Linked DNA regions of Lonchura striata. The main gene of each other region encodes a partner of the protein of the gene in region 2 in a complex. Links are inferred from orthologs where the notes say so. Each region holds a gene or a part of one and is shown on either strand. Other genes may lie near its edges.

Evidence for each region.
Region 1: the proteins of SERPINA10 (region 2) and PROZ are in contact, whole or in part, in a crystal structure (PDB 3H5C), measured with the Homo sapiens proteins. The link is inferred for Lonchura striata from reciprocal best matches to the Homo sapiens genes SERPINA10 and PROZ. Residues at the interface, in NP_001094077.1 of Homo sapiens: Arg88, Lys89, Ser91, Met92, His94, Asp95, His257, Asp259, Lys260, Tyr261, Asn282, Phe283, Lys305, Met306, Asp308, His309, Leu310, Ala311, Leu312, Asp314, Tyr315, Leu316; in NP_003882.1 of Homo sapiens: Cys129, Pro131, Cys141, Leu142, Pro143, Ser151, His250, Met251, Arg252, Asp254, Ala257, Glu259, Asn260, Glu284, Lys285, Asp286, Phe287, His290, Leu291, Thr336, Thr337, Arg338, Arg390, Ser392, Leu393, Trp394, Gln397.

What each region holds. Positions count from the first base shown.
Region 1 is NC_134604.1:91,535,584-91,552,144, reverse strand, and holds the start of PROZ (vitamin K-dependent protein Z), read left to right. Parts: upstream 1-10,058; 5' UTR 10,059-10,115; coding exon 10,116-10,182; intron 10,183-11,710; coding exon 11,711-11,874; intron 11,875-13,260; coding exon 13,261-13,285; intron 13,286-16,044; coding exon 16,045-16,158; intron 16,159-16,561. UniProt on the Homo sapiens protein: Appears to assist hemostasis by binding thrombin and promoting its association with phospholipid vesicles. Inhibits activity of the coagulation protease factor Xa in the presence of SERPINA10, calcium and phospholipids.
Region 2 is NC_134608.1:15,240,067-15,256,899, reverse strand, and holds the start of SERPINA10 (protein Z-dependent protease inhibitor), read right to left. Parts: upstream 6,104-16,833; coding exon 5,383-6,103; intron 4,438-5,382; coding exon 4,164-4,437; intron 3,475-4,163; coding exon 3,327-3,474; intron 1,165-3,326; coding exon 973-1,164; 3' UTR 967-972; exon of another isoform or gene 885-966; intron 1-884. UniProt on the Homo sapiens protein: Inhibits activity of the coagulation protease factor Xa in the presence of PROZ, calcium and phospholipids. Also inhibits factor XIa in the absence of cofactors.

The DNA.
Region 1 (16,561 bases), on a different chromosome or scaffold from region 2:
TCTTGCAATACCAGGACTGAGCTAAGGGAGCATGAGCCATATACAGATGGAAAAGGAATATTGCAAGGATCTACCAAGAGTCCAATCACTCGTTTGTTAGTGATGCTTTAGTTGTTGATATGTTTTGCCTCTTATGTACACCCATGTTGATCTTTGCCTTAATACAATGGTTGTTCTGGCAAGTACAGTTTGCTCCTTGAATTGCCTTCTGAGAGCTGTTAGTTACAGTGTAAGATGTAGAATAATAGTGTTCTACCTAATGTTGACAGCTTACCGTTTTTAAATAATAATACAGCTATTGTTATTATTAAAGCCTTTTGCAGGAAATGTACTGTTATTTCCTAAAGTGGTGGGGTGTTTGACTAATGTTTGCAAGCCAGCTTTTGCAAGCTGCTTGTGCTTTTATGAAGTCACCATAAACCCAAAACCTGCCTATACATTTGTCTCCTTTGCAGTCATAGCAAGTGATGCAAGGTCAACTTGAGAATTGTGAGCAGTTCTGAAAAACTGAAGATGGAGGAATCATATGTTCCTGTGCTGCTGGCTATACCCTGGGCAATGACAAAACCTGTGTTTTGTCATTTATACATTTATGGTTCATTCTGTGGGACACTTCCACATTTAGGAAGTGCTGCTGTGTTGCAGTGCCACTGTAGCATAAAGAATACTGTTAATGTTCAGGCCTTTCACATGACTTACCTGAGCTGTTGATAACAAATTTAGTAAGACCTTAGCCAGAGGACATAATTTAAATAACACCAAATTATGTGGCTGTGAGGGATGTATGGCAGCAAAAATATCTCAAGAAAGTATTCTGTGTAATTGGGTGTGTTCTCTCAGGGACATGCAAAATCCATGTCCCAGCAGGGGGAAAACCATATCAGAAACTGGTGATTAGAACAGGGCTAAGATTCCTCTTCTCCCAAAGACTGAAACAGGCCTTTCATGCTATGGAGCATTTTGTTAGAAAGCAACAGGTTAGATTTTTGATTGATAAATGTTGCTGTCTAGTTTCAAGGCCTCAGGGATATGCTGATCCAAATAAGTAGGATCTACATATCCAAATAAGTAGAAATCCAAGAAATTTTTCACTTTACAGTATACTGTTCACAAAGACTCATTATAATTTCAGTAGTAGTAACATCATGTGACTGAGTTATATTTCACCTGTTTCTCCTCAAATACCACCTGTTCCATCTGAAAGAAATGCAATCTGCCTTTCTCTTTTTTTCTAACAGCAGGTTTTCTGCAGTTTTCATGTGGCAATCTAAAGACACTAATAACTACTGACACTGAATTTAATTCCATCAGTTTTGCCTTCATTGAAATTGAACATAAACAATTACTAGTCTTAGTCTATTCTGTGTCTGATATATTTTACAATGCCCTCTATAATTTAATGCCAAATTACTATAATGAGCTTATGATTCCAAGCATAGAATACATTATTTTCCAATTAAAAACAAATTATTAACAGCAGCTACAGAACAATAATTACCAACAATATATACCAATAATGGAAGATGTGTAACTTTCAAATACTTTGAAATGCTGAATCCACTTGCCTACTTGCTCAAAATGGGTAAGTTTTAAAAGAAATGAAAGTGATTTGATTTTTTAAGATATTCCAATCTTTTTGCACATGCAAAGCTTTTGTTAATACCTTGAAAAATTTAGCATAGCCAAATCTGACAAGGACACCTGCATATCTAATTAGATTGTAAAAGGCTACTGTTGAGGAGTTTTCTTTTAAATGAATCTTAAGCAAGTTTTCTCTTGTTTTCATGAAGGGTTGATTCCCTGAAAGCGACCTGTTTCCCTGCAAACCATTTTCCTCCACTGTAGGTATCTATCTGTAACTCTAAAGGCTGCTTTTGACTGAAAAATCTGTGTTCCAGCAGGTTTGAATAATTGTGGTGAAAACCAACTCAAGATGCAATGGAAACTAGATGTATTGTCCTGACCATAAAACTATTCTTTATACCGAGGGCTCTGTCAGACAAGCTCTGCTGAGTGGCACTTCAGTGACAAACATTGCTTCCAACAGCAACTGTCTGCTCTGCAGGGTTCCTTGCATGTCACCCAGCTTGGTACCTCAGGGACAGCACAGGCACCATCCCCCACGGAGATGGAAGACCACAGTCCTTCTTTCCTATATATTGGCTTAAACCAGGTGTTTCTGAGCTCAAGTGGAAGCTGGTAACACCAGCTGAGCAGTCACAGAGTGTGTTCAGTGTTATGGACAGGGGCTCTTTGCTGCCAGCAGTCAATGCATGCTTCCAAGTCCCCGCAGCACCCATACAAAAAGCATTTTGATTATGCCTTTGCAGTCCAGTTCCCACATAAGGCTCAGAGATCAAAAACTAGATGGCAGAAAGTCACAGGAATCACAGCAAATCCAGATGCCCATCCTGAAAATGAGGAATCCACTGAGGCCTTCAGCAGACAGTTGGAGGTCACCAGGGAGGCTGGCATTCACCCAGCATGTCCCATGGCAGGCAAGGAGCCTGGACTGGAGGCCTTTTCTCCTCACCAGGCTTCCCTGGTGTCAGAATTTTGGGTGGCTTATTCCTCTCTCCTGAGTACTGTGCTTCTGCACAGGTCTCCAGCCCTGAATGTGTCTCTATTTCAGCATCAAGCAAGTGCTGAGAGGGGCAGTCTAGGGAAGAAGTGGGTGGCAGATGTGGAATTGTTGGTAAGTGCTCCTTATTTTGCCCTTTACTACAAAAATAAGAAAATGTCCCATGTTTTATTCTCCATATGCGAGACAGTGAATTTTAGCAGAGTTTTTCTTACCCTCTTTTTGTTCCTTACTGCCTCATTTTGTCTCTTGAGTAACAGTGAAATACATGGCCAAATTTATAGAATAGACAGTTTCTTTAAGCTTGTCTTGACCTAGTCTATTTTATGTATGTTAGAAGACAAATATAAACTAGGGAGTTATGTGGGCAGGTAAGGCTGAGCTGATGTAGTTAAATTGGTGTAATAGTACAACTTTATGCAATTTCCTGTGTTGGCCAAACACTGAAGAATTCCAGAGACCTCATTCAGATATTAGCAATAACTGTTTCGACAGCATGATGATATTATTCTGGGACTGTTCCATATTTGAAACCTCAATTATATTGTTTACTATTTTTGTTTATTAAAAAGTAGTTTATCACAAATTCTAGGCACTGAAATATGGTGTTCTGAGTCATAAAAGTTGTACTCAATGTACCAGAGTAAAGCAAAAATTGTAGTTGTCTTAACTCCAATTGCCTGACCATTTAATTCCCAGACTTCAGACAAATTGAGGAGCACAAATATATATGTGAATTTGTAGATTCTTTTATGCAGAATGTTGAATTTTTAAAAGACAATAAATATCTCTTTTCTATTTAAGTCTGACTATATCGCTCTACAAATGAGGCAAAATTCTTCTGTGTTGAGTCTTGTCTATCATGAGTGCCATAGCAATACTGTAATGAAACCCAAAAAGTTTTATCAAAGTTTCCATTGAAAGCATTATTCTGATTGAAATGTTCTGATTTTCTACTTGCTTGGCATTTTGTCAGCTCTCTAAAACGTCTCCAAAATGGGTATGATTTGCCGTAGCTTCAGGATACAGGACTAGTCAATTTTATTTGTACAGCACATTGCTTATACAGAGTACAAGGAACTTTGGTGTCTTCTATTATTGAGATGCCTTAGACTTGTTGGTATTGTCTTATTAGCAACTGCTTTCATTATCTGACACAGGGATGGTAGACAAGGAAAGGTAAGACCCAATGCACAGAGTGGAAAAATATATGGCCATGCTGAATTGGATACAGAAACTTTCAGCAACAGCAGTCTTTCTCAAATTGGAGAAACCTATCACATTTTCTGGGGTTGTTGTCCTACCATGCCTTCCAGAAGATTTTGCTAGATATATTCTCGTGGAAGAGGTTTTACAGTGACTTCTGTGACCCAGAGAGAAGTTTGGTAAGAGGATCCACGTTTACCCCTGAAAGAATTTTCTAACAAGGCCATTGACATAAGAAAGAAAGAAGGATAAGAGACACCTGCAACTCTCTGCTCAATATGCATTTTGTTTGTCCTTCCTGACCAATGAGTAAAGCGTAAACTTATGAGTCTTGTAAGAATGTATTAAAAGCATGCATTCTATAATAAAACTTGGGTTTGAAGCCTTCTGAAAATTGAGTGTTGTTTTGTATTGTGACCATGTCAACTGCAACATATTCTGATTAATTAATTGGAATTGTCAGTGGCTTTGAGAACATGTATAGAGAAAAAAAACCCTAGAAAATGCAAAAACCACTCATGGATCCAGAAGAGTCTAATTAACTGTGCAGGTCGCTGAGTGAAATGAGTTGTTAGATGAAGTTCCTTGAATTGGAAAGGCTTGCTTGCTGTCACCAAAATCACTGCTGTTCTGATAGCTTCTTGCTTTCTTTCTGAGATACTTTCTTCACCAGCATTATTGATATAAGGGTTTTGGCTATCATAAAGTGAATGCATTGCACACCCTAGAAATTACAATATTGTTATATATTATTATTTATATGAAGTATTATTTAAATCATTCAAATCTGAAAAAAAAATTAAATATGCAAGGATAACTAATATTTCAAGACTAATAAAAGCCTAACTCTCTTATCATCTGAACCTGATATCCTCTGTCTGCCTTATTTCAATCCAGAGAAAAAATTATTTGTTTTGCATCCAGTTCAGTGGTATGTAAAAAATTGCGAAGCAGGTATTGAGATATTTGAGCCCCTACAAAAAAGTACTTTGTGTTGTACTTCAAAAGGTGTGTCAGTTTGTATTTTGGAAGAGAGAAGAAAGATGTTATAAATTGGATTGTGGCATAAAATATGCAATATTTTTCTCATTCCGTACCATACCCATTTCCAGTTTTCAAGTGTGAAAGTCACTATTTGGGGATGATTTTTATAATAGAATTTGTTGATCAGTTTGAAAGGAATAGAGTAGTCAGTGTTGTTCTGCAATGATCACTGTCTGGTTTCCTATAAAAACTCAAAAACCCACTCTGGAGTCTGTCCCATTTGTATTATTTCCCTGCCACTTTTCTCTGACACATTGTAAGCTTCAGGCTGCTAAATAAATTTGATTCAGGAGTGACAGTGCATTGTAGGTAATGGTGTTCAAGCCATGGATAGAAGCTCAACTCCTGATGGCTGCATACGTCACTCCCTGACGTCACTGCTCCAAAGGATATACCCCTGTTTGAATTCCCATAGGACCTCCTTTGAAACCTCTGATTAAAGTTCAGCCCTAAACTATAGAGAGAGCCTGATACATGGAACAGTGGGCCATGCTCGGATGTGTCCCAGGGGCTACAGGGAGGCCATAACAGGGCTGGCACTTGCTGACCCATTCTCTCATTGCCATCCATCTCTCCTCCCACTCAGCCCCTCCATGACCCCTTGTCCCAGTTCTGCAGCACTCCTGGTTTAATCATAATCAGTTACAGAGGGCACAGACATCTCTGATGGGCTTTGATTGTTGTCTTTAACTCAACATGCATTCAGAGGAATCAGTCATCTGAACTCCTTCCTCACCTCCCAGTTTGTAGTGCCAGTCATGAAACACCATCATCAACCTCCTCAGACATTCAGTACCAGATAAGAACAAATTCTGTCTGCAGGGACACTTACCACAGCTGCTTAATTGCACAGAGAACTGCAATCCTCACTCTAGACACATAGCCAGGCACACATCATCAGTGCTCTGCCTCATGCTTTTGGGTCTGCACAGACAGGACAGAGTACCAAACTCTTTCTCCAGAGCTCCATAGCCAGCAGTGAGGAATAAAGACATAAACACAAATTAAAGAGATCTTTAAAACAGCATGCAGGGAAGCCTGGGGCTGTGTGTTGGGTAAGAGAGAAAACTTCATTTTAACTTCAGTCATCCTGAAGATGAACTTTGAAACTTGAATAAACTTTTTTTGCCATCCTATTTGAATATGAATAGAGTTTTTTCCTGTCATAAATGCAGAAGTCAATCTCCAAAAGTAGTCCAGCAGTGTGACAGTTGCACAAGTCCACAGAATCCATGTCTCCTATGTCTTGGAAGTCAGCTTGGTGGCAAAAGCCAGTTCCACCACCCAGTTACATATGTCTGGGCTGTGGGTGGAAGATGTTGGGTGCAGTCTTTGCACTGGTGCTGCCGAGGTCATGTTAGCACTTCCCTCCTGCCGAGTCTGTTGCAGAAGAAGTGACTGGTTGGTCAAAGGAACAATTTAAATTATAGCATCTGGACACAGCTGCAGAGCTGCTGCCCCATGTCCTCAGTGGAGAGAGTCAGGCAGAAAAACAGAGGAACAGGAAACTGCATTAAAAAGTCTCAAATCCAGGTAAATTCCACGTGCTTTCTTGTCTCTTCATTGTCCACTTCAGACTGCATCAGTGTTCCAGGAGTTTGCCTGAAAAAAATCTGCTGCTTAGGTTTCTCTGAGAGCCATCCTTCATTTTTATCTTGAGCTCCATACTAGGGCAATGGGGAGATGTTACCAGACAAAGCTGGAGGAGAAAAAAAATCTTCATCCAAATGGCACAGATTCCAAAGTGATTTTGCTTCATTTTTTACATGGGATGAGAGGATATTCCTCATTTGAAAGCAAAATTAACCATCTTGTCAACCCCCCTTATCCATCATTGAAACTGTAACTAGGAGCTGAAGTGCTATGATGCTGTCTGTGCATGTGCTCTGCCATCTTCTGGTTCTTCCATAGCCAGTTTTTTTGGCTGGAATTTTTGTAGGGAAAAGAATTTTAATATATAAGTTGAGGGAAAAGGTAAAGAAACATGAAGGTGGAAATAAAGAAATAATATTTTAATAAATAAAATATTAACAATTGCTATTTTTAACAATATATGCACAGAGCTTGCATCTACAGAGATCATAGAATCATAGAAGGACTTTGGTTAGAGGAGGCCTTCAAAGATCACCTCGTACAACACTGCCTGCCATGGGAAGGGACACCTTCCATTAGACCAGGTTCCTGAAAGCCCCATCCAGCCTGGCCTTGAATACTTCTGGGGATGGAGCAAATGTAAGAGGTGTTCCAAGGTGGCTTTTGTTTCACTGCCAGGCCATCTGGACGCTTGCATATCCTTGAGAGAAGGCTGATAGTCTTCTTATGGATGCAGCACCCAAAGGAGAAAATCAGAGCTCCCTTCCCCTGTTTGCTCCTCCAAGGTTTCCTTCAATCTGTAACCAAACCACAAAGAGTGCTGATGTTCTTTTGAAACAGCCGCAAGTTCCTCCTCATTTAGAAATGCTGATGCGCTTTGGATTTGGCAAGAAAAACTTTTTTTTTTCTGCAGGTGGTGAACAGACTTGGCTGATCTCAATCCAGGTGTTTAGATGAAATCAGTACCCATTTTAACTGCACTAAGCAGCTCACTAGCTGAGGTATGCATTTCCAAAAAAGCATGTGATGGGTTACTCAGGACAGCTGCCCTTGGTACATCGTGCTGCAGCAGGGCTGATGGCCAGCCCATAGCTGGAGATGGGTGGCATTGACATGTCCCCATCACTGACTGCCCCATCACTTCTGCCCCATCACTGCCTGGGCAGCAGGTCTCCAAACCCACTTCCCCTGGGCTGCTGAACTAGGCAAGGAACAGCTTCCATGTGAACCAGTTGCTAAAGCAGGACTAACTCCCTCAGCTGCTCCATCCTGAGGAGCTGCTGACTTGGTGTCTGACACTGCCTGCAGGCTTCATCCTGGAATGAGTAACCCTTCAAGAGGAAGGCAACACCTAAACAAGGCTGCAGGAAATAGGGTGCAGGACTCCATAATGAAACACATTGTCATATGCTCACTGTGGTAATTAAAGGAAGGGGAAAAGAAATCCCAGTAACTCTTTATAAAGAAACACATGAGGAAAGGACTGCCCTTTTAAACCCTTCTTTTCATGAAGTTTTCCATAGTAATATGAAAGTTAAAATATAAACCTGTCGCATTGATGTCAATACAGAAAAAGCAAAGTCAGTGCCATGCATACTGAGTACACCGAGTCCCATTCTCAAGGACACAGCTGCTCAGTCAAGGGATATCTTTTGTAAAAAAGATCCCACAGTAAAAGGAAAAAGGGCCATGTAAACTAAGATCTTGTGAGAATACAGCTTCTAAAGCTCTGGGTTATTAATATTAAACCAATTTGAATGACAAACTTATACCTACAAGAGTTCCTTAGTTGATATAGGTTTAGGTTTGTGACATGTAAACAGTTTCTTAAAAAAAAAAAACAAAACCTGCAGATCCATATTTTTGTGTTGGGTTCTGCAAAGTCCTGTGCTGACATCAAGTGGTGACATATTTTTCATGCCAAAGGGAGCCAGGCTGGCTGTGCTGTGCATGCACAGGATAATATTCATTATCACGAGAAGGTACAGGCAAGTGGTCCCAGGCCACTGGGGGGCTACAGCAGCAGCCTCACTGTCAGGTGCTCCCGTAGGGAGGGACAGCCAGAGGAAGGTGGAAAAGCAACACAACCCCTGCAAAGCAAGGCAAGGGGGAGAGGTGAGCCTCCACAGTGACTCCTGGACACCGGAGGTGCTGTCTGAGCCCCCAGCATCCACCAAATGTGACCACTGGCAAAAACTCTCCCTTTCCTAGCCAAGAAAGCTCTGGCTGGGTGAGGTACAGTGGGGCTTGGTGGCCTCAGGGGACTGAGGAGAGCATGGAGAGCTCATTTACTGAGGAAAGCTGGACACACAGTTAACCAGAGGATGGGAGGCTCTCTTAATTAGTTCTGCAGAAATATCAAAGAGAGCAAAACAAATACGTAAGGTCATGAACTGGCTGTGAATAAAATTAAACTTGGTATTAGAAAAGTTTTAACTCCAAGTGAACTTCTGGAACAACAGGCCTGCAGAAACTACAGGAAAACCCTCCCACAATGGAGTTTTAAAGTTCAGGTTGATTATTTGCTGCAGGTATTGAGGCCTGTGATGTGAGCTGTAACATCAGCCCTGGACTGGTAGGGGCTTGGTGAGGGATGTGGTTTGTTTCCCTCACTGGCCTCAATACTCACTGAAGCTTGTTTTCAAAGGTGCAATTGATGGGAAATGCAGTTTTATTTGTGGATTTACCCATGGATGTTCAGGTCAATCATACTTTATTAAAACAACTCCATACGCAAATAATGGCTGGAGATTTATTATATGAAAACACAGAATGGTCTTAGTTTGTAACTCAGATTAAGTACAAAACCACTCTTCCTCTCCCTGGTCATTGCTCTGAGTGTAGAAATGGTTTCCTGCTCTTCTCAGGAGCCAGTCTATGCTTGGAGCTCTGCAGCAGCACTGCCATTGCATGCCAATGGGTTTGTCCTTCCTCTTGTCCAGGGCTGGGAAGCAGGGACATGCTGTCCACAGGGTGCATATCTCAGCAGCCCAGGGATTGTTTCTGTCCTCTCCAAACCTTACACCTCCTTTCACAGACTCCATCTGCTCTGCATCTCTGTGTGACTGGGATCCTGACATCAGGAAAAGTTTTCCATGCTCTCCTTCATGGCTGGGCATTATAAAACTTAGAGTGAAAAAGAAAAATGCCATATCCATTCAGATACACCCTTAGGGGAGAAAATCATGTTTGTGGGCTTGGTTGCCCCAGAAGGTGGTGGGAATTTGCCCATTGTAGCTAAGCCTTGGTAAATGTTTTGTGAGTACAATGTCCTAAAGGGCCACATCGTGTAATTGGTCCCTGAGGTCATTGTCCAGCCTGTGCTCTGACAGGGTACAAAGAAATGTCCGTGCTGTGCTTCTCCAGCCACGCCGTGTTACGGTAGGTGAGCGCTGGGGCATGGGAGGAATGTCCAAATCTCGGAGCAGCTCCCAGGGGCACTGGCAAAGGCCCCACAGTCGGCCAGGGCATGGAGAGAAGGGGACAGCTGCACTGCTGAGCTGGGCGTTGATTTCTTTGGTTTAGTTTGGGTTTGTTTTCTGTGGTTTTTTTCCCTATGTGTTGACATTGCAGCCAAGACTTGCCCATAAGCAGCTGGACTTTAAACTTCAACATCTCTCCTGTAGCCATTTCCCACAAGAGCTGCAGGAATGCAGGCAGGCACCGGCACTGTCAGGCTCAGAGGGTGACAATGGCAAGGTGCTCTTGGATAATATTCTTCCTTCTCTCTGCCCTTTTCCCTCAGACAGAGCAGGCAGGTATGGCTTTTGTTTTGTTGCACCTTTAATTCTGATTTGTGCTGCTGCTTTTCTAAAAACACCAGTAATTTTATACCTTGTATAATGTTTACCTTGTTGCACAGAGTGAAATAAATGAAAACAGTCCATTCCTTATTTTCTTTAAATTCTGCTGTTTATTTCATGCAGCTAAGTGAAAACTGCTGTAGGCTAATGGGGCAATGTAGTTTTGAAGTACCATCATTTATGCCAGGGTAATATTTTGTCTTTCCGTACAATTTTTAGAGTATCTCAGATATTAAAGCGAATTTTGTTTTATATTTCTAGTTCCTGCTGAAATAAAAATGAGAGACTACTATGGAAGAGGCCAATATGCATGCTTGTTATAGCTTGAGGAAGTCTGTGTTTCTGTATTATTCTCCATGGTTTGTCAAAAAATAAAGAAGAGCCAGGCAAGGAAGAAAAATATGGTGTTCTCTTAAGAAAGTCAAAACACCCTGTGGCAGAAGTTCACTGCCAGCTGTGCTGGATGTAGCAGAACCACTGCACGGCAGAAATATGTGCTGGGGGTCAGATAACATTTAAAATGCAGAACAGTCATTAAGCTTTTCTTTTTTTAGTATCATGTGCAAGTCAGTTGCTTATGGGGTGTCTTTCAAAAAGATAACTAAATATCTGTACACAGTTCTGGAATTATTTTGCTATTGCTCTCACTTTTTCCAGTTCTATGATTATTGATTACATCAACCAGCAGTGTTGGGTCCCCAAACACTGTATAAAAGAGAAAAAAACCCTGAATATTCCCTGCCCAACACATTTACTTTCCAAGCACAGAAGAACTGACAAACACATGCTGACACACACGATCACACATTGCTTCATGTGGAAGATGAAGCTCCAGGGTGGCACCAGCTGCCCGGCAGTTTTTGATGGAGGTATCATTTGCACACCTCTCTGAAAGGTTACAGTGTTTTCCACATAAACAGTGGCATGGGATATAGCCCTTTTAACTATGAGCATTGATGAGGGGTGGTTTTTATTTACTCTCCTTAACAGAGAATTGATTGAGAACTCAGCAATGTCATGGCTTTGATCCTCAATAAAATAAAATTGCCATGAACTAAAACTGAAGAGCATCAGTTTGGATCCACCATCATAGCTTAATACCACTAATATCCACTTCTACCAATGCATCTGAAACCCCTGTGCAGTCTCACTAAATAGCCTTTGTCTTTTATAATAATGTTTTCCCCCTTTCCCTGGCTGTGGCCCGGCACTGTGTTCTGTATATCTCATGCAGTAAAACAATGTGCCAGGAAGGGTTTCAAATTCCCCCTGCTTGGGCGCAAGTCAGGCATTCCCCAGAAGTAAAAGGTCTCAACTCCTCAGCTGAATTTAGTCTAAACATTAGAGCTCTTTAAGTATGTAAGTTTTATGTGGCTGAAACCCCAAATCAACCAAAATTATTTATCTCAAAAAAAGAAGGTAAAAATATATAAGGAAATTAATCTAAGTACTTATATTAGTGTTTTGTCATACAATGTTCCAGTATTTATATCAGCTCATGATGCAAACAGTGTTATCAAGAGACAGAGACGTGCCAGTTCCCTACTTCTGGAGGAAGTCCTTGAAGGTAGCTTGGAAAGAGAATGCCTAGAAGAGAGATGTACACATGAAGAAGCAAGAGAAGTATTTGAAGATGATGAAATGCTCGTAAGTATTTTGTTTCCCTGCATGCACAATAAAAACTGCTTCCATGATCTTTTATTTGTGAAACACAAGACTGCTTCATTTGTTTGGGTTTCTCTCCACGTGAAATTTTTGCATTTTCCACCTCTGCTGGTAGCAAGCAGGTGTTTTCCATGGTCAAAATGGAAACAAGGAGGTCAGTTCTGATGTTGTTCAAGTCTTCTCCTGAAAATGATGTGTCATGCTCTTTGTATTAGTAAATCACGTGGCTGTTGTCCCATCCTGACCACACAGAAATACAGTTTCAGCATCCCTTAGGGACTAGGAGGGGCAAAGGGGTGCTGGTCAGCAGAAGAGCACCTGGAAGGCAGCACAAAGGAATTCCATTCTCTCCAGACAGTAAATTGGCTTCATCAGGGCCCAACTCAAATCCTCTAATGCAAATGCATGCAGCATGGGAAATAAATGAGAGGAGTTAGAGTTATGTGAGGCACTGGAACTGTTGTCCAGAGAAGCTTCCTTCTGTCCCTGGAAGTTTTCAAGGCCATGTTGGATGGACCTTTAACAACCTAGTCTAGGGGAAGATGTGCCTGCCCACAGCAGGAGATTGGAGTTAGATGATTTTTAAGGCCCCTTCCAACCCAAACCATTCTGTGATTTTATGACTGGGACAGAGGGAATCAATGCACCAGCAAGTAGTGGGATCTATAGAGAGAGGCTCACTTGGTGAGTATCTGCAAATTCCTTTGCACCAGGGGCTCTCCAGACATAGAGATGTCTGCTGTGCCCTTTAATAGGAATCTGGATAGAGTTTTGTTTGCAGGGAAAGCAGAGGAAACAGCTGTAGGGCTGCCCATGGGCAGCTGTGGCGCTTTGGGGAAGGGAGGGGTGGGCAGAGGTGTCACTTTGGGGAAAAAAGCCCCAGGGTCAGCTGCAGTACCCAGGGAGATGCAGGGCACAGGCTGGTGGTGACCAGCAGTGGTGCCCCACAGCTCTGCTCTGTGCTGACCACCCTGCCTCCAGCAGCACCTGCTGGGGGCCAAGTGGGATGGGACAGGATGGGGTCACTTCCCAGGCTGCTGCACACCAGAGAGACAATAACCAGCCAGTTTTTTCAGGGAGCTGCATTGTTAAAGGATCTAGCTGTTCCTCTGTGGCCTAAGAAGTGTTCATCTTCCTGAACAGCTTCTAAAGAAACAATAAAGTAAGCAGTAGACAAAGCCCCTCCCTTCTCATGTGTATATTTGCTAGCAGCACATTATAGTTGTTCAGCTTTGTAAATATTAAACCACTGTATATATTCTCTCATAACATGTTTTTTGGTTTAGCAAAGAATTTATGACATATTACATTACATGGGAATTAAATAATTTCCTAATTTTCTAATTTCCTTTCCTTTTTTTCACCCAGAATTTGTTTTGGAATATCTACTATGGTAAGCTGGCCTCTTGATTTCTCTCCTTCATAGTCCTATCACATTATGAACATTTTGATTCAGACTAATACTGATTTTCTAAGAGTTTATACTATGAGAAACAATCAGTCTCTATTTGTCATGTCTGTAGTAAAGCAGAAGGAAAATTCTACATGTGAAATGATTTTTAAAAAGTAATATACAGGAAAAACCATTTAAAGCTTCAAAAACAATTAAAGTAGAAGGTAAGTAAAGGATATTACAGTAAATGGGCTGCTTCTTTTCCTGAATCTGAAACAGCCTAGGCAATGAGAAAGTATGTTTTGCTGATACAATGCAGCAGCACAGTTTTACCAGCAAAATCTCCCAAATACAGAATTAGCACTTAAATCTGAGAAAGAGAAATCGATATTAAAAGCTACTGAGCTGTCTACAAAATATGCACAGTGGGATTGCATCATTCCCTGACAGGTGCCAAGATGAGAAACAAATCTGTAGAAGCTGAGGGCTTGATGTCAGGCCCTGAACAAGATGCCACCTGAAGAAGCCTGTGGCACCAGCTTATGGTGACTAGTCCCTATTCCCTCCCCTTTTTTGAATGCTTCAACCCAAGTTTTTCTCTTGTTTTTAACTTAGTTATTATTAATTTCTAATCTTATGTTTAAAGAATGGATACAGAAGTGGCAAAATCAGCAGTCAGTAATAATTTTCTGCACAAGCCACTAAATTACTGAGTCCTGGGAGCCATTGCATAGAAGAATCCCATCAGTGCTATAAAAGTTATGAAGAATGTTGCTAAATATCTGGCATTTTATTACTTTTCTGAGGGTGGGATTAATTTCTAATTTGAGTCATTGAATATTTGTACTAAGCATGTCATGCAGGCTTCCTCTCTAGCCTAGGATGGGAGAAGGGCAACCAGTTCAGAATGGTCCCTCCAAACAAGCTTAGCCACAATCAGGACACATTACTGACTTCAGCCTCAGAGGTGGCTTTCTTGCCATGTGTTCTGTCTTCTTCCTAAAGAACAGCAGTGTGTGTTTCCTTCTCTGTGACGTCTTCTCTAGCATTTTGGAGAATGTTGCCTTTGAAAAGTGGCTTCTTTCCTCCTCGCTCCTCCTGTCTTCCAATAATCTCATCTTCTAGACCTCTGATATCCGTGTTGCTTTCCCCTGAAAGTCCAGTGTGCAGTGTATAAATCTGCATTGTGAATAAAAAGGAAAGGCTGAGCACCCACCTAACTGCTGGGTCACCCACCAGCTCTGTTCTATACTGCTCCACCTTTGTCCCTTCAAGTCAAAATTGATGTAGTGGCATCTTGCTGAATGTCTGCTGTCAGGGCACCTTGCCTGAGATCACACTTGTTCCCAGCCTTCTTTTATCAACAGTATAAACTTAGCCATTGCCAATCTCTCTTTAAACATCACTTTCCAAAAGTTTTGTGCATGCCTTATAGAAGTCTGCTCACTGAATGACAATGTCATTGGAGACATTTCTATTGTATGATGTTCACTGATTCCCCCTAGGTCCCTTATCTTATAGTATGATCAGATTTAAATGGTTTGAATTATTTGATCTTAAAAAGTATATGTTGATTTTTACTTCCCACCTTTTTATATTGTTGTGTGCTTATAGTTTAATCATAGCTTGCCAATAACAGAAATCAGGCTGATTTCTCTATATTTCCTTGAATCTTCTCTTTCCTCCTTTAATAAAGCTAGGTGCTGGGTTTCTTTTCTTCCTAACATGGATTTCAGAGGCTTGAATCCATCTAATTGCTTCAGGCTGCAGGGGCAACCCCTCCCTAGCTCCAGGTCCTCAATTGTGCCTGCTCAGCTGTGCAGGTGATTCCCCCAGTTCACCCAAAAACCCTCCCTGGAGGCCTACATTGTGCTTGGATATGCTGGTGGCATCTGACTACAGAAGCTGGTAGCTCTTTCAGCCAGTATTTTAGTACATCTAACACTCAAAGATATGTGTGTCCATAGTCCAAGCAGATGATGATTGTTGTTTTATTCCCATAGCTGGCAGAGTTTTCACTTTTCCACCCCCGAAATCTGGTGGGGCAGCTTACTGACTGAATTAACCTCTCTGACAAGGTGTTCATTTTTAGAAAGGTTGGACAACATGTCCCAGGTTAGGCATTCCTGGCTTGCTTACTGATTGCCTATGTCTATAATAAGTAGTTGTTACTTGGATCATGTTTTCATACTGCTTAGGAGTCATTCCTGTGAGTAGCCTGAAGGGAAACTGGCAGCTCTGCCTGGTGCTTCATGCTCAGTGAGGACACCCTCTTGTTTCAATGTTCAGTTCAGCTTGCTAGTGTCTGAGCTGCTGCATGATAATTGTGCAGATATATAAAAGTTATATTTCCTCCTATTTTGATGTTGCTTGCTGTACACTTGCTCTATAATTTTGATGCCAGCTTTTTCTACCCAGTACATATCAATCTAATATGGGAGACCTAAAACAGCAGTCTTATATTACATTTCTAAAAAAAGCAAGAACTGTAACTCAGTTCTTTTCCCTGAATCAGAGCATCCATCCTGAAGGAGGCTCTGCCTCTGGGCGTCTCCCAGCCTCTCTGACAGGGGCTGCAAGAGTGCCTCTGGAAGCAGATTTGAGCTAAAATTACACCTGAGGAGCAGTTCAGTGACACTTAGCCCATTTCCTTCCAAACTGCTCTCACAACCCTTCTCTGAACAGCTCATGTGCCAGGATGGGGACTGTGTAATTTGGGATCAGTGCTGGTGGTGACTCCTCCCTCTCCATTTCTCCAGGAGGCAGGAGGTGCTCCTCAAACCCCTGCCAGCACAATGGTGTGTGTGAGGACAGCATCCGTGGCTACACCTGCACCTGTGCTGAGGGCTACGAGGGAGAGAACTGTGCTTTTGGTAAGCATTGCCTCCTTCTGAGAAGCCCCATCTCATCTTGTCACTGGGTGTCCCCATGAAACCATACGCAGCTCTCCCATGTTGCCACTTACCGTGGTTTTGGGTAACACGCACAGCTCTGGCAGAGCAGGGTGATGTGTGCTGCCTGCCTACAAAACATCCTAAAGCTCTGCAGGCTGTCCCTGTGCCCTGAGCCTCCCTTCTCCAGGAATGCAGCAAAAGAGCTGAAACCAAAGCACCTCATGGTTACACCCCAAAGCTAGCCCTGCCACTGCCACCTGCGCTGCCTGGCTGCTTGTCCTGCTGTGCTCCCAGATGTGGCCTGAAGGACTGAGGCTGCAGTGCCAGGGTGGCGTCCCAGGCACCCTGGTGCCTCTGGGGCCACATGAGACAGTCCCTCAGG
Region 2 (16,833 bases):
TAGTCATTTTGTTGGATGCACTGCTCTACTTGAATAAAGGAAATTGTGGTTAGATCATGGAAATATTTTTCTGAAAATATTTCTGAAATATTTTTCTGAAACATCATGGCATTACCTTTTGGATTTTAGGATCAGCTCTGTGAATAAATTTGTTGTACTTTAATAGAGGTATGTTTTTTCCTACCAAAGTGTGCCTTATTTCAGTTATAGAGCCCTGTTACATAGTTCACCTTGGTGTCTAGATGATATTACAGGTAGAAAGTCTGGGTTTAAGAGAGGGCTAGCTTTGTGCTATGAAATAGTACAGGCCAGTTTTTCCAAACTCAGAATGCCTAAGTTATTTTTCAGGACTATTTTGTTTTTAATGCAAAGAATATTTTTAAGGCACATCATGTACTCTGAGAAAATGAGGTGATTTGGTAGTCTGGATAAATGCTTTGAAAGAGGTCACACTCACAAGGCAGACTTCATGATAGACTTATTTTCTATGAAATAAAGATCTCTAGACAAAGGTTAAGAATTCACTTTTAGGATTTGATACTCATTCTGTTTTCATAACTGGCAAAATTCTGCTAACACTCAGGTCACTGGGCTCTTCAGTCTCTTTGTAAAGAAGCTAACATTGAGGAATCTGCAGTGTTTGGGAATGAGCTTCCTGAATATTATGGCATTTGAATGTCTGGGGCTTTTTATTCAGATTTTTCACGAAAATACTGATTTTTTTAAATTTCACTTCTGTGGTTGTTGGGTTTTCTTTTACCAAAGGTAGATTTTACAAGTCACATTTTTGTTGCTTTGAGCCTTAATGAAGTTAGCTTGTTGTGTGGCATTAATAAAATATTGCTAGCATGATCTAACTAGGAGAGACAAAACGGGTTTTCACATTTCACATTTCAGTGTCTTTTTATTATAAAATAAATTAATAAAAATAAAGCCTCTTACATACCAAAAAATAGAAACTATTACCTTTATTCACATTTCTGTTGGATCAATCACCCTGCCAATGAACAGTAATGTTTTAAAAGTTTCTTCAAAAATCATGAAAAGGAATGGTCGGTCCACTTTGATGACAGGAGGCACTGTGAATGCAGTTATTTCTGAGGCACTTGCTGCTGCAGCCTCAGTTCCTTCTTCATCCACTTCAATAACTGCATTTTGGACAACCTGAAGTGCAAGGTAGAAATAAGTATGTGACAGAAGTAAATACTAACATGAAGATTATTCTTCCAGGTGAAGAAAGCTTCTGTTATGCATTAAAATGAACAGTTCAGTGCAATCTACCTCTGTTAGACTGGTGGAGGAGTCAGCACAGCCACTATGCCCACAATGCTCACAGTGTGGATGCCAGTTCAGGAGTCATTGCACGTTTTCACATTCCTGAGCACAGACCTCACTTAAAGATCAGGGGTTTTGCATGAAACAGCCATTGCATTTGTGCAGAGTGCTCCTATTTGACACCTAACTGTGCAAAGATGTTTCTCAATTGTAGGAAATGTGTTTTCACCAGTCACAAACACTGACTGGCCAGATATGTCATTCACAGCTGACTTTGTGAGAGCTGAGGGAAATGCACCAATCTTTATTTTTTCCCCCGTATATTTCTAATTTGTACATTTGGTAGCACAGACTAAATATGTAGAGCAATAAGGCACAGTCCTGGGTTGGTTTGAATATTTTCCACACCCACTGAAATTGCAGCCTGGCAGAATCTGATTTTTCATTTTTCCATCTTTTCCATTTTGTTCTTTCAGCCTGCTTATATCTGTGTGTGCTTCTGCTGTATTAGTATCTGTACTGGTGAACTGCCTGGTGATCTTGTGGATTTACAGCTCTTAAACTCATAATTCTAGGAATTACTTAGGTGAAAACAGTTGAAGGGCTTCACCAGTGTTGAGGTTTGTGCTACATATTCTTAAATAATATTTTTGTCTTTCACAATTCCCAGGGACAGGATGCTCTTCTGGCACTTCGTAGCTGATGCACATATTGCTTCTAATATCAGTTAGCAGCTCCTGTTAAAGTGTGATTTTTTCATAACACAATAGAGTTAACTGCTGCAAACACAACTCTACAGCTGAGAATCAGCATGAAAGTTATGTGATCAAGAGGAAGGGAGAAAAGAGTCGCAGATCGCCATTAAATTTCCCAACAGTGAAATAGTTCATACCAAACTGAAAATCACTGCAGTTTTATCCCTTTAATCAGTTTATTCTTAGGATGTTAGATCTTCCCAGAAAGGTTGTTTTGTTAAGCCACTACAATTTTGAAAACCTGTAGGTCAAGCATGAGAGTTTTTGAAACTTGTATAGAAGTATTTATTATCCCACCCTGTTAATTGGCTAATCACAAAGGCTTCTATAAGGAAGATACTTGTGGGTACAAGTATCTCTGTGTGTTTTGTCTTTCATCTCCTTTCTTTGACCATGCATTTTAATTTTCTATTATCAGCAAATTGTCCTTTTTATAGACTAGCTGTTTCTTTTTCATAAGACATCTCTGGTCACATAGACATTCCTTCTTGATATTGATGTGATTGGCAAGTCCTTTGTCTTCCATTCTTTGCTGCTTCTCATTCTGTCTGTGTTTTCCATCAGTCTTCTCAAATTCACCTGTGCTCTCCCTTAAGCAGCAATACAAAATATCACTTTCTACTCCTCTTTCTGCGTGGGGCTGTGTTTCTGTCTTCTGGGCTGTTCACTGCCCTTGCCTTTACATGTTTAAAGGTTCTTTGAAAGTTTCAGCATACAAAGTGGAAGATGTATATGGGTTGAAGTGCAACTGTATTATGCCAATTCTTTCCTGTGAGATTCTGTTTTCTCTCTTCTGTAGTATATAGAAGAAAAAGTAGGAGTGCTTTGACTTCTCTTCCCTCACTGCTAACTTTTTGACACTTTATTATTTAAACTTTCTAAGGTTCTTTATATTTTGAGAAGTGTACCTGTCTCTGGACTGTGTATGAGGAGTTCTTTCCTTGAATTTCCTTCCTTGCCCTGGCTTTTGCCATTTGACTGTCATTTATATTGTCTTTCTTGTCCACAGTTTTTGTAAAATTGTGCTCATAACCTGCCAGCCATATTTCTCTTGAGGCAGATTGAATCCTCTCCTGTGATTTGGGAGGTGTTGAGCATCTGTGAGATGTCACTTCTCCTTACCTCTACACACCTCATACTTGAAGTGGGATCGGTTCTGATTAAGGTGTGTAGATTGCACATACCTGGCAGATGAGGTATTTTGCTATTAGTGTCCCTACACATTCATGTGACCATCTTGGCTGGCTCTTTATATACTATTATAATCCAAACAGCAAATAATTTTAGTGGGCTTACCTGTGAAACTGCTACATATTTGTGATCTGTCAGATGACTAAGATCTGCTGAATGTGTAAAGAGTTTTTTAATTCCAAGACCTTGAAGCAGTTTCTTCATTTTGTATTTTTGCTCTAGTTTAAACTTTGGAAATGAAATATCCACTTTTCTGTTAAAAAAAAATAAAATTAAATGCAAACAGTCACTTGACTGCTGAAATGCACACTACTCAGGAATTAACCTTTACACAGAAAAAGAAGGGACAAAACCTGGAGAGTCTAGCATTTAGGTTGGCAGAAAATAATTTCTAACCTGTTGGCTGCCAGCGATACTAGAAATAATTTCCTTTTCTGTATAAATACTTCCATCAGCAGTTACAGTGTCCTGATACCACGGCAACACACTACTTCATTGACTGGTGAAAGAATTTTCACTTCAGGAACTACATTTCACAGGAATCATTTGGGTTTACATTTTTATATTTAAATTTATCAATTCCTCTGGGTTTCCTCTGGTAAGAAATGTTTAATAAATGTCTAGATTTTTTGTGGATTTTGCTCAGCAGTACTAATTTAAGGAGAGAGACCTAAGGGAGAATATAGAAAGACTCATGCCCTCACAGAGAGAGACATTTTTAACTGAGATGAGCTGAAGTTTTGTCCCCTTGGAGTCAAAACTTCACATGCCACTTGGGCTATGGATAGGCCATTAAAGGACCTCTACTCTGTAGATACCTCTTGCCACAGAGATGCTACCAGGGGAAAAGGCTTAGGATGACCAGCTAATCTTTCCCGGGCTTTGTTGCTTTGCTGGAGTAGACATCAAAGACATTAGGACCCATGGGTGTCAAAGCAATACCTGGTTTTCATGTTTCCAAGCCAGGATTCCACAAGCTCTGTAGTCAAATGGTCTTCAATTGAAATGTAGTCTCCCTCTTTTTCTGGGATAACAATCAGCATGTGGGCATTCCCTTTGTAAGGTATCTTTATCACAGTGCATCTTAAGTTCTCATCAAAAGTTGAATTAATTTTATCTGACTTGAACATCATAGGTACCCGTACACTTCTGTATTTGTTTATGTGGAAAGTCTCAATTTCTGTGAATTTGGAATTAAATGGATAGACCCACTTGCCTGAGGAAAGAAAGAAATTAAATAATTATGTGTGTTTAGATTTGTTCAGAAAAGTGTTCTAAAAAGTTTAAAAGATACAGTCTGAATCTATTTGAAGTGGCTATAAGTTGTGTCTGGGATTGGTGGATGACAATTTCAGTATATTTTATGTTTATTGTATATAAATATTTTTACAGGAAAAAAACCCCAAAGTAATCCACAAAATAAACTGCTTCATTTGCACAGAAAGAAGGGAGATATTTTTCTAAGGTTGGTTAGTTGCCACTCAAGTTCAGAATTTATGTTACCTTTGTTTTGTTGATACCTGTTGAGCATCTGACCTTTCCTAACATGTAACCTCTGAAATTCTCTACTAGCAGTTCAGTGTCCTGTATTTAATTTAATTATACAATATTTTGGATGGGGATTCACTGGCTTCTCCACGGAATGGTTTCTGCCCATTTCTTTCCCTCACCCTGTAAGGCAATATAATGGGGTACTTGAGTTCCTCTAGGGCAGATGATTCTTGATTGAAATAGAGAAATCATTTTTGTTTGAATGATTTTGTGTACTATGCTAAAGCAGTCCATGATTTTATGCCCAGTATTCAGCATTTAAGACTATTGTGATTGAGACTTTTTCATTTTAATGGGTGAATGAAAATAAAACAATGTTTCCTGTCATAAAGAGGGATAATTTGGAGACGGACTGAGATAGTTTGATACAGGGCTTTTTGTTCCCTTTGAGAGTCTATTGTATGGAAGACAGCATAGACGAATTATGGTTCCCTGCCATGAAAAATAATTTCCTATTAAATAAGCATAATAGAAAAAAAAAATAAACTTAGATAAAGACATAGAGAAAACAGGACATATAAATTCATTTAAACTCCCCCTAATGTAGCTTAAGTTAGAGTCTTGATTCTCCTAATAAATAATTATTCTGCAAAATAAAAACAGCAATTACCTTTAAAGAAAATGTAGTCCACAAGCACCAGTTTATTATGGCGGTCCAGCTCTTCAAAAAACACTGGGATTTTTCCTTTGGTCATTTTGTTAATGTTTTGATTGATGAAATGTTTTGCCTGTGTTAAATTTTCAAAGTCCACTTTCAGGAAGTCCATATCAAAGTACTGCTTAGATAAATTCAGGAAAGACTCCTTGAGTTTGAAGTCCTTTTGAATAAAAGAAAGAATACCTTGCACGAGGAGAAATTCTTCATTCATTGTGATGTTACCTATCAGTTGTTTAAACAAAGCTGGTAAATGTTGGTGATCCACTCTGTCCTTCACATCATGGAGATTTAGACCTTTTACAATTTGTCTGTGTGTTTCTCCTTTGGCTGCCATCATATAGACACTCATGAGAGCTGACACAGAAAGGGGAGAGATGATTACATTGTTATCGTGTGTCATTGCAATTTTTCTGTAGAGGTTAAATCCAAAATTTGCAGTCTTTTCAGTGAAGTTGTGAAGAGTGAGGTCTTCAAAACCTTGGTCTTCAAAACCTTGGTGTTCAAAAGGCTTAGAGATGTTTTTGTGGTGATACCACTCTTTGGAAATACTGATGTTACTTCTTTCCAAGAAATTACTCTCTTTTTCCTCCTTTGGAAATTTAGGTTTGATATCAGCCTGGATAAATTCAAAACATATTTCACTTAAGAGAAGTATGTAGATTCCTGTTTTCATGTTGACATCCAGTAATGAGCTCTTTAGAGTTTTTCCTAGAAATAAAGGCGACAAAATGACTTTTAGTTTGTTCAATTCAGAATGCAAAAGGTCAAAGATGCAGAGGTCTTTCTGCATCTTCAGGGTATATACTGAAACCTGGCCAACAAAATGTTCAGACAAGACCAGGCAGATCTTGCAGGACACCTCAGGCAAACCTTAGCATCAGACATTGTGTAAATTTGCAAATGAAATGCACTTTGCAAGCATAAAGTGCAAATATGATTATTATCCATCTTTCCATGTAGCAATATATGAATTCTCTCCCATAAAGTAGTGTTGAATTGCACCTTACGGAAAAATTTTGAATGGCTACAATCTTTGGAGATGCATTTTCCCATTGTAAATTACATGGGGTGTTTAAGACCACCAAACCTGCACAGATTCCTTTTGTATAGCAGTGGGCAAAGGGGTAAATGAGATTAAAAGATGGATTTAATGGCCTGTCATTAAAGTAGTAAGTGATTCAACAGTCTAGAATCACGTGGCAATTGTTAACTACTCCTTTTAAGCTAAGGATCTGTAGCAGCAAATTATGGTCATTGTATAATTTGTGATTTGGCATATGGGGAAGCTGGTTTTATCCGGTTTATTCAGAGTTCAGCTGAATTTCACAGTTGGCTGATTCAGGCTGTGGGAGTTAGTCCTGGAAAGGTATGTTGATGTGAGTACTGAGACATTTGGGTGCCAAGTCACGAGGTGCTTTTGGCAGTCAGGTGGTGTGCTATTTTCTTGTGAGATAATAGGTCATGTTCTGTACTTGCTGCAACACAGATGGGCTGTCATGACTTAATCAGGAGGCAGTGAAATCGATGAATGTTATGCCTGCTCTTGAGTGCATGACAGAGAACGGAGAAAAATATGCAGCAAATATGTTGTGAATATTTTTAAATTTATTTTTCTTTCCCATTAACCCTTGATTTATTTTTCATGGGATTCTCAGTGTCTGGGTTTTCAGGACTGGAGTAAGGAAGGGGATGACTTGACTTCAGCTCATGCCTTGCTAGCCAAGCAGTGCATGGGACATCTGGAGTGCTGGGATACTCACTGTCCCCTGGCAGGCTGAAGCAGCCAGCTCAGAGTTAGTGCAGGAACTGCTGAACATTCCTTCTGCTGTAGTGACCCACTTCTGTAGGAAGTAACACAGGCACAGAGGTCCTGTTCCTGCCGCAATGCTGCACCTGCCCTGGCAGCAAAGAAGGAGGTTCTTTCCTCTGGGAGTCATCCCTACTTTGAAGAAGCATCCTTGGACACTGCAGAGTCAGCTCTAGTGAAGAGGCAGGGATTGGAAAATTTTGCTTTTGATCATATTCAATGAGAGGGAAAGGATTTCCTGCAGCAGCAGTTTCTTGCTCTGAAAGAGCATCAGGCCTAACTGCTCACCAGGTATTGCAGAGCACAAGGCCTTCCTCATCTTTTCTGTTATCTTCTCGATGCAATTCCTGCACACAGCGTTGCCTTTGGCAGATGTCACTGCTGCCTCTCTCTCTGGGGGCTCTGGGACAGGACGTGGCTCAAGTGGCCGCCAGCATCCCCAGGAGATGTGAAGGGACTGGCTGGGCAAAGTGCTGAGCTGCCTTCCAGAGGGCTCTGCCTACCCCACACAGACTGGTTTTGGATGGGAAGGGCAGGACAAATGCAGAAGCTCTTGTTTACAGGTTTATCCCAAATTATTCAACACTCAAGGAAAGATTCCTGAATCCTCAGGCAAACGCATACACATGTGCTACTGATTTGGGTGCAGTGAACATGGAAATAAGAACCTTGCAGTTGCACTAAGTAATCACTGCAAATCTGAGATTGCAAACATTTAAAGTTTACATTAAAGCAGCTGTATCATTCACCTTTACTAGTTAGAAACAGAGCATGTCCTCTAGAACTAGGAAAAACAGTTCTGGGAACAATAAAGTAGAATTTATGTACAGTATAGACTTGTATTTAGACCTGAGTGAAGCTTATTGCTAATTTTAGACAACTTACTTTATTTGTAGAGCAGAGAGCTCATTAATAAATGTGTGTCAGAGCAAAGTGAACATTATTTCCATTTTAAGAAATATTTATTTCTATCAATATCAAAGAAAGACGCTTCTTGTGCAAATGCCTTTTTCTTTTGAAAGCATTAGAGCAAGACAAAAATCCATTAGAAACAGATTAAGATCTACAACCATTTAAAACATCACATCTAGAGAATCATTGATAAATATATAAAATTGCATTATATATATAAAATATATTATGATATTTTCTTTACAATCTAAATACTTCATATAAATCTTATCTTACCTATTAGATAGCTCTTCTGTTATGTTTCTCAATCAGTTATGTTTAAAAATGAGATTAAGATGTCTGTCCCATTTAGAAGTTTTTGAACAAATATTTGCTCTTCCAAAGACTGATAATCTGGTTTTGTCTGTTATAAATTAACTGTTTTATAAACACTGAATATGTGTTTCCTATAAATGGCATAATAAGGGAGGGTTATATTCCAGTAAATATGTTCTGTCTTTCACGAGAAACAAGAGAACAACAAATTCTTTGCATTTAGCCCTTCAGCAGCCTATCAGGATGTGGCCCCCACATCCAATAGCCCATGAGAATTATTTTTCAGGCAGGCTCTGAGTTACTCAGTGGTGGAAGACGTATCCAATCCTGCTTAAATTATCCCCTTACATAAAAGAATATGTCAATATTCACCAAGGCATGAGGGAGGGAGAGAGGGAGAAGGTACAGAACATTTGTAGGGGTGTTACCAACACCCTTGCCCTGCAATTTGGCCACATGTTGAGAGGAGAGGCCACGGCTCCACTCCTACTTTGAAGAATGTGCCAGGTATTCGGTGATAAATCAGTCTGCCAACATCAACTGCCTGATAACCACTGAGGGATTTCTCCCATAAAATACAGAGTGGGCCAAGCTGATATCCCTACAAAAGTTATACAGAGCTATGGGAGGCATTAATAAATTTGAATTTTCAGTTGGTCTTGCTTGAACGGATTTGTGTCTTGAGCCTCATTATTTGGGCAGGGCACATTCTTTAAGACAAATAGTTCATTCAACAATTTCTCTAGAGTGGGATGGTCTAAACGCTTCACTGTTTTGATCATTGGCCTAATTCCAGATAAAGCATACACATGGAATTCCCTATCTTCCCTTTGTGTTCCTAATTTTTTTCAAAAATACTCCCAAATGAAATAGAACATTTAATTTTGATTTGGATTGTAAAATAAAAATAATGTGGCTTTCAAATGTGAGATAAGGGTACTAGTCTCTAATTTTCCACTGAACTGAAAAAATAAATGTTATATGCAGGCTAAGTGGATGTAGTAGATATTTTTGAAAGCCCATAAAGAATTAGGGCATCCAGGACTCAGTTTAAAAAAGGCTTTTTGTTGCTGATGAGTATTGCTTCTATAAGAGTGTTTGCTTACAAGTTGTAAGATTTCACTAGGAAGGGCTTAAGAACTGCATGCAGCCCCTCTGTTGTGTGGTATCAAGGATACCAGATTTGTATCCTTGTTGCAAGGATACCATACTGGAGGGCAGTTGTGGGGTTTGTGCTCTTAAGGAGTTCAACAGAGGGGTCACAGACTCTAGCTTCTTAAATTCTAGTTTGTTTAAATTAATTTAAAATATTTTTCCTTTTAGAAGCAATCCTGGTCATAATAGACCCCCAGTGTAGGCATTGTATTACAGAATATGGGAAAATAAGATGGGTTTACAAACTGAAGGCCCTGTAATGTCAGGCAGTCTAGTCCCTAAACATGAAAAAGATCTACTGTGGGTGCCCCAGTGACTTCAGAACTTCTGTTCTCTATCCATGTGACTGGACACTTTTTTTTTCCTGCTTCCTAGTCTATATGTATTTCTGGTTAATTCAGTTTGATTTGAAATTCAAGTATCCTCTCATTGCGTGGCAGAAATTTGCATCTAATATGGTTGAACAAAGCTGCATTACTGTGGTGTGGCTCTGAATCTCTTCTGAAAACTGTGGTGCTGTGGTTGTGGCCCAAAAGAAAATACAAGGAAAACCTGATGGACACAGACCCTGTCTTTTGTGCTCAGCAAAATCAGCGGTTATTTGCAATGATAGTGGCAAACAAGCCTTTTCCTCCTCTCACCAGGATGCTGACACACATGGTCACTGCTGGAAACTAAGACACTCAATATTGATATTTAATATTCAAAAGATTAAGATTGTTTATACATGGTACTGAAAAGAGGGGTTTGAAGAAATCAAAAAGTCTTTGACTATCTGTTCTGGTTTGTAGGATAAGCTTGTATTCTATTTGCCATCTGTTGGAGGTTGGGTAGGTTTATTACCTCTTCCAAGAACGATGGTTTGCTCCGAAGAGGTAATCGTTTGTTAATGGGACATTGACTGACTCACTGCAGGCCTGGTAATGTTACACCATCCCATTGTGAGATGCTCCACCCAGAGGGGGAAGCCAAGCACTCTTTTATGATATAAAGTGGTACCTTCTGGGGAGACAGGGCAGCTCTCTCTCTCTTTGCGGGATGCCCAGAGAAGCAGCTCCTTTGGCGGGATTCCCAGTGAAGTGGCCCCTTTGCTGGATTCCCAGAGGAAGACCGGCCCAACTGCCACCAGATCTTCAGAGAAAACTATACCCTTCTAAAGATCACCACTTCAGCTGCAATTCATCAGCCACTGCAAGACGAGCAGCTGTCATTTCAACTGGACTGCTACCAACAGCCCGACTCCTCAGGGTGTCAGGTTGTGGACTTTATCACTAGTTCTGTTTGTACCAATTGCATTTGCCTTTTTAAATTGTTATTTAGTTTCTCCTAGTAAAGAATTGTTACTCCCATTCCCATATCTTTGCCTGAGAGCCTTTTCATTTAAAAATCCTGGTAATTCGGAGGGAGGGAGTTTACCTTCTCCATTGCACAGGAGGCTTTTGCCCTCCTTCACAGACTCCTGTCTTGTCAAACCAAGACAAATAGTGTGGAAAATCTTATATGAAGTCCATTCCTCCTGGCTCTGTCCCATAGGAAACTCATTTCCTATCAGTTTGTCTATTAAGAAAAAAAAAAAAAAATAAACCCCAAAACAAAAGAAGCTTGCTTTAGTGTTTTCATTTGCTACAGTATTATTGCAAACACACAACAGAACTCTGTCGAGCCTTCCTCCTACCATACCCCCCAATGGAGGCACTCCATGGCTCTTGGCTTTCAGTGCTGTTCACCTGCTTCTCACAGCTGTACCCATTGGGTAGGAGGCTTGGCTGCAGCCCCACTCCCAATTACCACAAAAATCCCCCCCCACCTTTTTGTTTGTTTGTTTGCTTGTTTTTGGTTTTGTTTTTCGGGTTTTTTGGTTTTTTTGTTTTTTTGGTTTTTTTTTAATAAATCGACTATTTCTCTACAGGACTCTTGCAGAAGAAATTGTAAAAATGGTACAAGTATCTCTTTTGTAGATTTCACTAACTCTGGAATGTGTCCATGTACTGACCTTGATTCACTCCTTCAGGACAGGAATTCAGGTAAGAAGGAGTGAACAAATCTTCCATCTCTGACTCCAGTTTTAAGCTCCAGTTAACCTGCTCTTGCTGTGTCTGGTTATAGCAATCAAATTATTAGTAAAAATATTAACTGGGCTTATTTGAATCAGTGTAAATGACTGATCAATACTGTTATAAGAACACAGTAGCTCCAGCAAGAAATTAATATGGGTTTTTTCCCCATGAAGTACACAGGAAATTTACACGGATTATCAATCAAATAGGGAGCATTTGGCAGCTTTCAGAAGGAAGTGAGGTTGGTAACAAAGCTCCTTTCACAGAACATGAGATTGATTTGAGTTGCAGGAATCAGCTTGTGAATTCTTGTTGGCATCATGAACCTGATAGCTTCACTCATACTTCTGATGGAAAGGTGTGCAAACGCTGCACTTTGCACACTTGCTGGAAGCTGTACCAAGGGACTGAGGACTGAAAAAGAAAATAAGTGTGAAGGTTCAGATCTGGAGAGGAGCTAGATTTGCCTGCATGGTGCATTCAGAATTGTGCCCAGTTTTGGGCTTCTGTGTACACAACAGACATGGACTTACCGTGAGCCAAGCCAAGGGCCACAAAGATGATTCAGGGATTAGAGCACCCTCCATATGAAGGAAGGCTGGGACAGCTAGAACTGTTAAAAGAGAGGCTCAGGGGGAATCCATTTGGAAACAATCCTGTGCCATGTGCTCCAGGAAAACCTTGCTTGAGCAGGGAGCAGATGACCCACTGTGATCCCTTCAACCTGACCCTTTCTGTGATTCTGTGATCTTACCAGTGCATCTAAACACCTGATGCAAAGGAATGAAGGCAAGGGAGTCAGACTCTTCTCGGTAGTGCTCAGTAAAAGGGGAACATGGGCACAAGTTAAGCCACATCGAATTCAAACGGAAAACAGGATTTTTTTTTTTTTTTAATTGTAAGGGTGGTCAAACAGTGGCAAAGGTTGCCCAGAGAGGTCATGAAACTCCATTTATGGAGATCTTTGAAACCCAGCTGGACACTGTGCTGGGCAATTGGTTCCAAATGACCTTGCTTGAGCAGAGGGGTTGGACTAGATGATATCAAGAGGCTGCTCCAAACTTCAACCATTCTGTGATTCAAAACCTTTATTCAGTTGCTCTTTAAATGCAGCTGGGTCATGCCCTGTCATCCTGTGTACATTTGCATCCAACAATCACTTTGCCTCTTTTCTCCTTGCAGTGCTGCCAGTGGAATGCCAGGAGCCCAAAGTGTGCTGCTCCACCCTATGCACGGCATCTCAAAGGTACCTAGTTCCTACCTCTGCTGATGCACACAAGTGCTTCAGTACTCAGAAGCTTCAGAACCTGGGTACAGAAGATCACAAACACATGGTACAATCCCTGTTTTACAAACAGGGATTCTTTTCTTAGCCCAGGGCACTCTTTTGGGGCCCCCAGCATAAGGCACGCAGGGATCCAAGCAAAGCTTCCATGAGAGATGTAGGCAGGTGGATACTGCCCACCCCCTTTTCTTTCCACATGCCCTCAATCCCTGCTGGGACACTCACGCTTCCCATTCCAGCTTGGCTGGAGCTACCGGGTATGATCATCAGTCAATCTGCCCCTACGGGGATGGAATATCCAGAAAATAAAACAACAAAGTGAAAAAACAGATGAACTTTATTCAAATTTAATACTCCAAAAATCTAAAACTATGGGGTGGGAAATCTACATGGGGACAACCTAAGACCTAAACGAACTTGATAATATCTTAGAACTAGAAAGCTAAGAAAAACTTCATCTTGGGAAAAAGGTTTTGGGGAACTTATGGCTATCCTAAGGGGAGCTATAGCTAACAAAGGGGATCCTAACTAAAACCTACACCTAAAAACATACATGCCCCAGCTCTGCTCTGCCAGCCGAGAGGCGAGCTAGAGCTGGGGACCTCAGAGCTGGGGGGAGAAGTGCAGCCGCCTCTTCTTCCGCAGTCCCCATTTGGCTGTGGTCTTCTGCCGGCGCCTCTCTGGAGAGCTGAGGCGCAGGCACAGCCGCAGCAGGGCATCGTGCTGCCTCAGCAGCTGCAGCAGCTCCTTGCTGCAGCCGCGTCCCTGGCAGCAGCGCTGCCCTGCGCAGACCGGGGGGCTCTGGCTCTTCTCCTGCAAGACACAGAACGGGGAGAGTGTGGCGATGAGCCATCTGGCCATCACTTGGGACGCCCCAGGAGACACTCTGGCCTGGCCAGGCTGCCCAGGGCTGAGGCTGCAGGGAGAAGAGCTCTGAGCAGCTCAGCTTGGTGTCCCTGGGGCTCAGCCCCCAGCCCTGATTCCCTCCCTGGGCTGCAAGTCCCCCTCTGCCTTGGGGCCTTGGGCAAAGTACTGCCAAGAGGGCCAGGACCCTTGGGATCTGACCAGCTTTTCCCCTCCATGGCGGCTCTCAGGCCTCACCCGACGCAGGCTTGATTCAAGGCCTTCTTTCATGCTTACCCCTGCCCCCATCCCAGCTGCCTGACACCCTTCCCTCACCTCTCCCCACCAGCTCTTCAGCCTGCTGCCGAGGCGGTCCACAATCGCCGTCAGCAGCAGCTGCACGACGGTGGCCACCACGGCCTCTGCCACCACCGGGACCCACCAGGGGGTCGTCTCACGGCTGGTGGCTGGCTGCTCCCTTTCCTCAGGGAGCGAGGCCACGGTGCCCTTGTCCCCCTCAGGGTAGCTGGAAGGGTTGAGGGGCAGGGCCAGTATGAACAGCATGCAGATGCTCAGAGGCAACCAGGGGCCGTCACCAGCCATGGTGCTGCTGTGGCGGGAGCCGTCACCTCAGCACCACTCTGGCTGTGTCTCCACACTGGCTACTGGGCGTTCTCTGGGCACCGCAGCGACAGGCTGGGGACAGTTCCACGCCACCCTGCCAGCCCCAGAGGCTGTGATGTCACAGAACTGTGGAATCAAGTGCCCTGGGAGGATCCATCCCCAACATGGCAACCCCAGCAGAGCCCTGAGGGCCACGCCTGCTCTTTCCTTGAGCCCCTCCCCCAATGGGGACCCCACCACTGCCCCAGGCAGCCTGTTCCCATCTTATTTTGCCCCTCTCTGGGCAAAAGTTCTTCCGACTGTCCAACCCACACGTCCCACGTCCCTGCTCAAAGTCTTTGCTGGCATTTGCTCTCTCATGTCCTTCCCATCTCTGAGAATGCTCAGGCACCGCCTCATGAGAAATTGCCTCTAGGCAGGAGAAGAGGCTTGGCCCATGATTGCTGCTCAACCTTCTGGCCATCCCAAGGGGCTGCTTCTTCTTAATCTTTGATGTCTCTGCCATCTTGGCAGTCGGAGCACCCTGCAGGCCCAGAGACGGCAGTGGTGCTCAGTGAAGCCTTGGTGGCAGCGCCAGCTGGAGCAAGTGGCCCTGGCACAGGAGGGAGCTGGAGCCCTCACACAGAGCCCTGCAGGAAAGAAGGACTGGCCTGGAGCTGCAGGGGGTTCTTGTGGCCCAAATGCAGGAGCCAGCCCTTGGTTCTGTCCTGATAAAACCTAGCAAGTGACCTGAGACCTATACTAAGGGACCAGCTATGTGTGTTCAATAGCAGCTGCTGCTGTTTTCTATGAAATGCATCTACAGAAAGAGTAAGCAGTTGCATGTTGTCTCTGCAGTAGTGGTTCTCCCTGCAGTAGTGGTTATCTCTGTCAAGGAATCCAAAAGTTAAATTATTTCCTCAGGCAGATATATTCAAACCCAAAGCACCACCTACAAAACTAGTCTATTGCAAAGCAGAAGCATTCCTCAATTTTCCTGTTGGAATTACTCAAGGCACTTCAAATAATTCATACTTCATTGCATCAGACCTGGAGGGTGACAAACTGGCCTAAAATTGGAAATTTTTCCTTGGAGGCACAGCCCTTATCTAAGAGTTTGTCTGGTAAAGCATCTACCTCAAAGTAGATGACAGCCATGTCATTGGGGTATTCCTGTGGGAGGCAGGAGCTGTGAGTATAAATCCTACCTAGAAAGATATAATTAAGACCTTGCAGCACCAGAACTGAACCATACTATTCTTCTAAGCCTTCCCTATTGTGGTGACCATGAACTCTGCATGCAAGGTGTGAATGTTGCTGCAGATGTTGAATTCTGCAGCTGCAGGGACTCCACTGTGGAATGTACTTAAAAGACAGGAGAAGCAGCAGTAAATGACAAGTTCCTAAAGCACTTGGTCCTTATGATCTTTGCTTTGGTAGCTTTACCTCCAGTGTGTTGCCCAGATCAGAGCTGAGGAACTTCGTCAGAGATGCCCATGGAGGGACAAGGGAGGAAATGATATTGCAGCGTGGTATCGCTATATTTGCTTTTTTGACAGGCTCTAGTCATTAGTGCTGTCACAACCCTGGAAAATCACTCCAAAAAGATATCTGAAGGAAAACCTCTTCCTTCCTAAGCACACAAACATACACAAGCTGAGTCTTTTGGATGATGCCTTCAGATAAACAGCCATCACAAAGCCTCAATTTCATTTTATCTCCATTTTAGCTCCAGGAAAATAATTGCTTTTGAAGATTCACTGTGTGACCCAGACCTCTGTAGCATAACCTGGTATGTGCTCTTTGCTGCCTGTCACTCGTGTGGGCAGGCTCTGATCTGACCAAATTCCACACATGTTCTCTAGAATTCCTCCGCTCACCCCTTTGCTGAAAAAACAGGATTTCACCATTTCCCCAGAGGTGTCCAAAACCCAGTCACTGCATCCTTGGCAAGTGTCTGACAATCAGAAGTATGACAGCCAAGGAAAAAGAGCCAACTGGTTTCATATTCCAAGCAGAATTAAATGTAAAAAACAAACAAACTGCATAAATGATGAAAATTATATTATTAGATTTTTAGTTTTACTTTCATTATCTGAGTAGTTTCTTATAATAAGTGTATTCTAAAATACGATTTTCAGTCACTGCTATTTACTATATTTAAGCAAGACTGATTTTATTTACTGTACTATGCTTGTTAGCTCCTCCAAGCTACTTTATTCTGTAATTTTGGGCTTTCTTTCAAAGAAAAGAAACTTGGCTTTTTGACAGAATAGTCCTTAATAAGTCACAACTAAGAAACTGCCAGGAGCTGTGATGATGACTTGTGTCAGGTATTATTTTCTTCCAGAGAATGGAGTCATCATGACATGAATGAAGAGTTCTTTGTGTCATTTGTGAAAATAAATAACAGTAATAATGTAATA